2 linked regions of the Mus musculus genome follow. The protein of the gene in region 1 binds, or shares a complex with, the protein of each later gene. Links are inferred from orthologs where the notes say so. Each region holds a gene or a part of one and is shown on either strand. Other genes may lie near its edges.

Region 1 (4,649 bases):
GATCCAACCCCAGCAGCATATCTAGCACAAGGCCTACATTGGTGGTGCCGGCCACCGCCAAGTCCAGTCGTGCGCTGCCCAGGCGCTCCAGACCAGCGCGCACCCACGACAGCGCCGCCTCCAGGCCACCGGTCTCGAAGGCCTCACGAACAGCTTCCAGCTCGGCTGCGCCCAACACCTCGAAGCCATCCTGGGCAGGAGGCAGGAGCCTGCAGGAGAGAGGGTGGGAGATCGGTCAAAGGCAACAGAGCTTTAAAAGTAGGAAAAGCTGGGCTGAACGAGCAATTACGGGAAAAAAAAAAATCTTTCTGAATCTCAAGAATTTAAGTAGGGAACTAATGCACATAGAAAGAAGGCACGGCCGGGCGTGGTGGCGCACGCCTTTAATCTCTGCAATCTCTGCACAAGTGGCAGAGGCAGGCAGATCTCTGAGTTCAAGGCCAGCCTGATCTACATAGCCAATTCCAGGACAGCTGGAAATACAGAGAAACACCCGTCTCAAAAAAAAAAAAAAAAAAAAAGAAAGAAAGAAAAAAAAAGAAAAAGGAAAAAAAGAAAGAAAGATAGAAAGAAAAAAAAAAAAACCAGGTGAGGCGGGACCATAAAGTTAAGAGAGTTCAGGGAAGAGCTTAAGTCCCCTAGAGGTCCCGCGGGTAAACTAACCTAAGGTCAGGTTTCCAACCGAAACTACGATGAGGACCCTATTTGGACTTCTCTTGATACAGATCAAGAGATCGGGGTCAGAGCTTTTCCAATGGTGTGCTGGTCAGGACACGTTTTCTATGGAGTGGGGCTTAGAGGAAGGCGAGGACATAATGGCAATTTCAGTATGGCCTATGGTGTCCCTGAGGGTGGATGTAAATAAGAGAGACCTCATCTAGTACTGGTGGGCCAGCGAGGTTAACTAAACAAATGAGAAGCAGCTCTCCAACTTATGCAGACCCTTCCTGAGTCGCATTTTGAGAACCATAAAATGAGACAGCTGGCAGGTGGGGAGGGGCTGGGTGGATTGGCGGGCAGTAGGCAGGGTAGAACTGAGAGGGAACTGGAAATGGAAGAACAGGGCGAGCAATCGGAAATAATGCTCTGTAAAGGTTTGGTGTTAACGAAAGGAAGGATGGGAGGGGAGTCACTTGAGAACCAAGCCAATGAGGAGGATGGGAGTGCTGGAGAGGGATCTCAAATGTTACGAGAGATGGGAGTCCAGCATCTTGTCTGACACAAGTATTTGCATATATATATATATATCTGGGCTTGTGATGCCAGAGAGCTTGCACGAAACAGGACCTTTGTGGTGGGCTTTCCAGTTGACCCTTGACGGTGCAGGCTTTAAACGACAGAAAAGTGATCCCTGCTTATGGCAGAGTCTCCATGATCTCAAACTCTGTGCTCATGGGTGTGGTGGGTGCTGTCCTACGCAAATAAGTAGGGTATGGACGAATGGGCAGCCAAGAAAAGCTTGCGTCTAACACTCTAGGAACAGGGCTCGAGAACTTTAAAGACCTCCGTAGCTGAGTTGGATCTAAGGCCACCCCATCCAGCCCGAACTGTCCCCTCACCTCTGCAGCGCCTCCGCCTGGGTCCGCAGCACCACCTGCAGGCGCTCTAGCTCCTCGCAGCGGTCACTGCTGCTGCAATCCGCCGGCGGCACAAAGAGAGGCGCAGCTCCTAACCCAGCACTGTTCAACAAGGCTGCAGTCTCATCCCGGGCTTTAGCTGCATTCTGGGAATCTCCAGGGCGCAGATTCCGGACAGCCAGCAGCGGGGTTCCTCTAGCCAGGGCGGCTCGCGCTGCCTCTCCCAGAGCTGGGGTCAAGGGCTCCTCGCTCCCCTCAGATCCTGGTAGCACCAATACCAGCAAGTTGGCCTCCGCCGCCCAGGGCCCGGGAGCTGCGGGTGGGCAACTCAGCTCACCCAGGAAGAGGCCCGGAGCCGCAGCTCTCAGGCTGGGGACTCCAGAGTCCTGCCGTCCATCGGGAATCTCTACCGTGTCCACATTCTTACCGCATAACGCGGCGATCAGGGCGGACTTTCCCGAGCCGGGAGGCCCCAGGAATAAGGCAGTCACGTCACCCTGAGGCAGAGGCATTGCTGGAAAGCAAGAGGCGGGGAAAGAAATTGGTCAGGGAGCACGTAAGACTTTTTGTTTGCTTCTTTTCTAAGACAGCGTCTCGCTGTGTAGCCCTGGCTGGCCTGAACTCATTACGTAGACCAGGCTGGCCTGACATTCAAGAGATCGATCCTCTCCCCTCTGTCTCCCAGAGTGCTGAGATTAAAGGCGTCGCACTCCCCCACACCAATCAACACCCTCTCCTAACTGATTCACTGTAGATCCAGGCTTCAGTCCTCCAGCCTGTCCTCTACTTCCATTCTCCAGTGTCACGCTGCAGGACCTAGAAACTCAACCCCCAGGGCCTATTCCTGGGAGAGCCAGGTATATGCCCATTCTCCACACGAATGCATTTCTCTATTTAAAAAAGAAGAAACAGAAGAAGGAAAACAAAAACCCTCAAAAACCTGACTGCCAAACTCGAGAATGGTCTTTCCCCTCCCCATTCCAAATCACCAACCGATCAGAGAGGTGACACGCCTGGAGAGCACAGAGGCCCAGCCCCTTAAGACGAGCTGACGGAGGCTGAAGGGGCAGGAGTGTCCGGATTTAGAAACATCCGGACTCCTTCAGGTGGCTCTATACTGACGTCATTCCTTCCAAGACCGGTGTGTCTTGGAGTGCCACTGCGGAGAGGAAGAATTTTTGGCAGCTCCTTCTTTCTAGCTAAGGCTGTTTGGGCAAAGGCACAATAAAACCCATGCGCGTGCGCAGAAAGTTTTGGGGCGGTGCCCCACCAAGACCAGCAACCAATACGCCTGCGCAGTACGTGCAGGGTTTGTACGGCAAAGGGGGACAGGAAGCGATGAGCCCACGCAGTAAGCTTAGCGTTGTACGGAGCACACAACCAACGTCATCATCACGCACCCCTGTACAGAAAAGGACCTCTCCACTTGCCCTTGCGAAGACTTGCCTGCCGTGACTATATTAGTGCCGGACTGCAACCTTGAACCTGACTCGGGGACAATGGTGGTGCAACAGATCACTGGAGTCTGGAGACTAGGAAAAACTATCCCGCTCTCGTCCGGTGGCAGAGCTGTGGCGACCAACTGTCAGGCGCAGCTAAGGGACAGTCTTCGGGGAGGAAAGCAAGAGGCGTCCGTGACCATCAAGAACTAAGAGCAGAAGGCAGTGCATGGGAGCAGCGTGATCCAGAAATGAACTAGTGAACGCGGGCGGCGGTGACTACGGTGAAACAGTAATCAATGTCAGAGAAGGATGTCTCCTGGGAGAAGGCGGGCTCAAGTGTGAGCACCACTGCTTGTGCGGGGGTTATGGTTGACACGTGAGAAACTAGGATGGGGCTGGTAAGAAAGACCAAGAGTTCCACCTTCGAGGGAATTCGGTTTCGTGAAGATGAGGACACAGGGGCTTGAAGACCGAGGTGTCACAAACCCGAGGAGTCTCCCATGTGAGACTGCTGAAGCTTTTCTAGTGAGAGTGTCATTAGAGTTCAGTGAGTGTCAAAAAATAGAGCGAGGCCCACTAAGGTTGGTGGCAGCCACGCCCCCCCCCTCTCTCTTTCATATCAGAACATCGCCCTGAAGACACTGTAGAGGGCAAGCGTCTCCCAAGGAATGGAGTCCAGACAGCCCAGGAGACGACCTCTTTGAGTACTGCCAGAAAGAGGGGTTGGGTGCAGGAGTGACAGACACTAAAGGGACCTCCATATCTCGACGCCCCGCCCTGCTACAGGTGGCCGCAGTGACTACCTGCCAGGAATGACCTCCTCTCATGATCAAAATTATTTCCCTTGATTTGGGCACACAAACAGAAGCAGGACGACATTTAGAGGAATAAAGGGCTGCCAGGCGAAGATTGGGTTGTGGGGTGTGACTGGCAATATCATTACCTGGAATGAGTCCCCAGGGTTCTTGTCCCACTTTCCCCCTAGACTTTCAATATGACTATGCTTCAGTTTCCCGTAGCAAACGTGTGCAACACGGGCTATGGTGGTAGCACACCTTTAATCCCCGAATTTAGGAGGTAGAGGCAGGCCGTTCACTGAGTTTGAAGCCAGCCTGCTCTATAGAGAAAGTTCCAGGACATCCAGGGCTACACAGACAAATCTTGTCTTAATAAACAAACCAAAACGGGCATCACAGCTCACTTCCATGGGGTAGTTATGGAATTAGCTGTCGAAAGGGGAAAACTTGACTTGAATGAAATTTAATTTAAATGATAACATCTACTTTATAACAGCTGTGACCCTGACTGAGTGTTCTCTGCACTGGGTGCATTCGATGCCAAGTATGGAGGAGTGACCTTGATTATCTCATTCGGCTCTAATGTCGGGCTGCGGTGTACCGCAGCGGTAGTATCAGTGTCTCACAGGCAGAGACCACAAGGAACACATCTGGCTTGGACAAGCTGGGATTACCGTTCAGTTTTCAAAACCCTGTATTTAAGCCAGGCACACGCCATTAATCCCAGGACTCTGGAGGTAGAGGCAATTGGATCTCTGAATTCGAGGCCAGCCTGGTCTACAGCGTGATTCCAAGACAGCAAAGGTTACACTGAGAAACCCTGTCTCAACAAA
Region 2 (4,345 bases), on another chromosome or scaffold:
TGGATTTCTGAGTTCAAGGCCAGCCTGGTCTACAGAGTTCCAGGACAGCTGGGGCTACACAGAGAAACCCTGTCTCGGAAAAAAAAGTTGGGTGTGGTAGCTCATGCCTTCAATTCCAGGGAGGCAGCAGGATGAGTTCAAGGTCAGCCTGGTTTAAAAGTTCAAGGACAACCAAGGCTACATAAAAGAAACAACCCACAAAAGTCACTTGATATGCACTCACTGATAAGTGGATATTAGCCCAGAAACTTAGAATACCCAAGATACAATTTGCAAAACAAGAAAAATCAAGAGGCAAGACCAACGTGTGAATACTTCATTCATCCTTGGGATAGGTAACAAAACACCCATGGAAGGAGTTAGAGACAAAGTTTGGAGCTAAGACAAAAGGATGGACTATCCAGAGACTACCCCACCCAGTGATCCATCCCATAATCAGTTACCAAACCCAGACACTATTGCATATGCCAGAAAGATTTTGCGGAAAGGACCCTGATATAGCTTCAGTGAGGCTATGCCAGTGCCTAGCAAATACAGAAGTGGATGCTGCTCACAGTCATCTATAGGATGGAACATAGGGGCCCCAATGGAGGAGCCAGAGAAAGTACCCAAGGAGCTGAAGGGGGTCTGCAACCCTATAGGTGGAACAACAAAATGAACTAACCAGTACCCCCAGAGCTTGTGTCTCTAGCTGCATATGTAGCAGAAGATGGCTTAGTTGGCCATCATTGGAAAGAGAGGCCCCTTGGTCTTGCAAACTTTATATGCCTCAGTACAGGGGAACGCCAGGGCCAAGAAGTGTGAGTGGGTGGGTAGGGGAGCAGGGCATGGGGGGAGGTATAAGGAACTTTCCGGATAACATTTGAAATGTAAATAAAGAAAATATCTAATTAAAAAAAGGAGGAAATAAACTATCTTGAAAAACCAAAAGAGAGAAAGAGGGAGGGATAGGGAAAGAGAGGAAGGGAGGGAGGGAGGGAGGGAAGGAAAGAAGGAAGGAAGGAAGGAAAAGGAAAGGAAGAAGTTGTACTAAGAACACCTCCTATGGTTTGAGTTTTATAAGCGGCGAATGGATTTCCAAGCCACAGGCCCAGCTAGCAAACACTTCTTACCTGGACTGTGGGACTGTCTTGTCCACAAACAGGAAGATGGCCTTCTCGGAGGGAAGCTGGATCCTTTTCCTGATGATCCACATGAACTGAGCCACAGTGATGTCCGAGGGGACCAAGTACTTCCTCTTGTCTATGTCAACAATCTGAGAGCCCGAGACTTTTTCCACGATCACCTGGGAAAGACGGGTCAGAAGCTCAGGCCAGTCCTCCACAGAGCAACTTTTGCCTGGAATCCACAAAGGCTGCTACCTGGTTCCCAGCACTGTGAGAGGGACGGCGAGGGAGAGCGAGCTCCAGCACTTACCCACAGGGCTTGATTGCTCCAGTCTGATGAGCAGAGTGTGGACAAGGCAGTGTGTGGGAAACGGCACAGATGAGTAAATCAATATGCCCACAGCTCAAGAAGCCCCGCTCTGGAGGCCCAGAGCTGACTGATATTCCTCATTTCTGATCTCAGCGTTTGTAAGAGAAGCACAGCTACAAAGCTTTCTATCTTCTTCCAGAGACAGGGTCTCTCTGTTAGTCCCAGATGTCCTGGAACTGTAGACCAGGCTGTCCCCAAACTCTGAGATCAGCTGCCTCTGACCCCTGAATGTTGGGACTGAAGGCACGTGCCACCCCACTGCAAGGGTAGCTCTCTAACATTTTATCTAGGCCGATGAAAAGATTGATCTGGCTAGGGTTTCATCTGTCATCTTTTGATCCATAGATAGACCCTGTTAGAGCATTCCAATCCCCAACAACACTGGAAAGAAATGGATGAACTAAGGGCAAAGCTATACAACTACAGCCACCCAAGAGCCGACATTTTCATTTGGCCTGTTGCTTCTCTCTGAACAGTTAACATTTATCCTCCTGCTTCTCAAAGGGACTGTTTACAAGCAAAGCACTACAATAGTAAGACTTTATGTCCTTCAAAAATCAATAGTGATATCAGAAACGATCGCCCCAACTAGGGCAGAAAGCAGAAATAAAGCAACATACTTATTGATTAGAGGCAAAACGAGAGCATTTCAGATTTGTTAGTCAAACAAGGATGGCAGAATCAGGGTAAAGAGAAACTCGAAGTTAAAGGTCCAGCGTTAAAGATGACTACCTTGAAAGGATGCTACCGTATCCAACCCCAAATGCCAGTCTCCCTCCACCATCATTCCCCAAAGTGGCAGTGACCTGTTGCCCTGTCCTAGAACACGGTTCCTTACATAATTGGTGAGGGAGCCGAGAGGCTGCAAGCAGCTTGCTGCCCTAGATCGGGAGATTCAGCACTGGTGCCCCTGGACAGCACCAGCCCCTTAAGCCCCAAGCTTGGGCCGGCGGAACCCCAGGCTGTCCTCGGTCTCTGGGCTACACCTTGAGACCTTAAGTTCTCAACTGTTGCACGGCCTAGCGCGCCCGCCCGACACCTCTCCTAGACGCTAAGGGTGACAGCGGGGTGAGGGGGCGGGGAGTCCACACTCACCGGAACTCGGTCGGGGTACTTCGCTCTGATCTTCGCGGATTCCACGCATCTGTGTTCTGGGGAAGAAGAAAACCAGGCTGACATTCGCACTTGCCGGACAGCAGGGCCGCCGCTGCCGGAACCCCTTCTTCCTGTCCGCCCTTCTCCGCCCGCAACCTGCCTGCGTGCGTACGCCCCGAGTCCTAGCCCCGGAGTCCCTCGCCACAGATCCCCTCAGGAACTCCCAGCGAGATCCACGTAGGGCGACACGGGTCCGTGGGAGGCGCCAGGATGCCGGGGCCTTGGCGACCCAGCGGGCCCGGCAGGGCGGCGGGAGTGGGGGAGGGGCCGCGATCTGGGGCCCCGCAGGCCGACCGCGCTTACCCAGAGAGTGGTCCTCCTTAAACATCCACTTCATGGCGACGGGAAGCGACGGAGCCGGCTCTTCGAGCCGCGGACTTCGGCGAAGCGACCACAACAACAACGGAGGCGGCGGCGGCAGCGACGACTACTCCACAGGCGGGACTTCCGGCTGCCGGAGCCTAGCAACCTCCCGGGGCGGGGCTTCCGGCGGGCCTGGTAAGAGCTTCAGTAGGCTACGATTACGTGAGAGGGCGGAGCCTAAGCGGAGACCTAGGAGCGCTCCTGGGAATGGAGACTGACGTAGGTGGCTGGGAAGTCTGTGAGTGACAGTGGAGACTTTAGGAATTAGTGACTGGAATGGAGTTTCAGGATTGTGCATGACAGGCAGGTCATGGCTCATAGCTTGGAACGCTTGTAAAGGGCTCTGGAAGGGGAAGTCTGGGGCTTAAGGAGAAATGAATATTAATTTTTGGCTGGGTGAGAAGGCGGGAGCTCGGCATGGAGGGATAACCTGTTCCAAGCGCTGTGTGCAACGAGTACTGGTGACCACCTAGAGGTCTAGTATAGGAGTTGTTGCACCTAAAATTTGATTTAAACAAATCTCACTTCCCACTCACGAATACATATTTTAAACATTCATGAACACTTATGAACAAGTACCACACATACTCATTTAGTCAACGGAATATCCCTGATCACAGAGATTCTTTATCGGAAACTGTCAGAGGCGAAGTGCCAGTGTCAGGCGGGGAGGATTCCTGGGAGAGCTGGTCATAAGACACCCTAGGAGAAGGAGCTGGCAGTGGGAGTGGCTCGGCACTAACCCTGAGCTGTGGGTGTCACCTGCCCTAGGCACAAGCCTCGAGGTTCCACCCCTGTCCAAGTCGTAGCATAGTCATCCAGGAAGTCGGCTCTGGGTCACCATCTGTTTATGCACTGGTGAACACAGAACATGAATATGCAGTTAATCGGCCACCTGACCACGTGCTTATATGATCTGCCGCATCTGTAGAGCCAGTGTTTGAACCTTGTCATCAATCATTCCCTACAGTTGAAATTCCTGATAGATGCTGTGGCTATAACTTCATTCTGAAAGTATTTGTTATTTTCCACTGGGGGGAGGGGAGAGACTCAGTTCCCAGCAGGTAAAAACGCTTGGTGCCAAGCCTGCCAGACGGAGTTCAATCCTGAGGACCCAAGTGATGGAGGACAACCTGTTTACAAAGGTTATCTTCTGGCCTCAAGGCATTCACTGTGGCAAGCCTCCATACACATACACACCCAGATGCAGGGAAGATAATGAAAATCTTAAGGAAAAAAAAATTTAATTTAAAGAACTTTTAAAACTTTGTGTTAGCTGGGTGTGGTGGCCCATGCCTTTAATCCCAGTACTTGGCAGGCAGGTGGATTTCTGAGTTCAAGGCCAGCCTAG

The links. The genes of interacting proteins can lie anywhere in the genome.
Region 2: the proteins of Irgq (region 1) and Gabarapl2 are in contact, whole or in part, in a crystal structure (PDB 8Q6Q), measured with the Homo sapiens proteins. The link is inferred for Mus musculus from reciprocal best matches to the Homo sapiens genes IRGQ and GABARAPL2. Residues at the interface, in NP_001007562.1 of Homo sapiens: Asp7, Thr9, Leu11, Pro47, Leu49, Phe57, Pro70, Trp71, Glu74, Pro181, Ala182, Gln183, Asp184, Gly185, Phe186, Glu187, Val188, Leu189; in NP_009216.1 of Homo sapiens: Ser10, Glu12, His13, Cys15, Val16, Glu17, Ala19, Lys20, Ile21, Ala23, Lys24, Tyr25, Arg28, Pro30, Lys46, Lys48, Tyr49, Leu50, Val51, Pro52, Phe60, Ile63, Arg67, Phe104.

The regions. Positions count from the first base shown.
Region 1 is NC_000073.6:24,528,826-24,533,474, reverse strand, and holds the start of Irgq (immunity-related GTPase family Q protein), read right to left. Parts: upstream 2,828-4,649; 5' UTR 2,571-2,827; intron 2,092-2,570; 5' UTR 2,090-2,091; coding exon 1,560-2,089; intron 210-1,559; coding exon 1-209. UniProt on the Homo sapiens protein: Autophagy receptor that specifically promotes clearance of misfolded MHC class I molecules by targeting them to the lysosome for degradation.
Region 2 is NC_000074.6:111,939,442-111,943,786, reverse strand, and holds the start of Gabarapl2 (gamma-aminobutyric acid receptor-associated protein-like 2), read right to left. Parts: upstream 3,085-4,345; 5' UTR 2,969-3,084; coding exon 2,935-2,968; intron 2,628-2,934; coding exon 2,572-2,627; intron 1,286-2,571; coding exon 1,113-1,285; intron 1-1,112. UniProt on the Homo sapiens protein: Ubiquitin-like modifier involved in intra-Golgi traffic. Modulates intra-Golgi transport through coupling between NSF activity and SNAREs activation. It first stimulates the ATPase activity of NSF which in turn stimulates the association with GOSR1.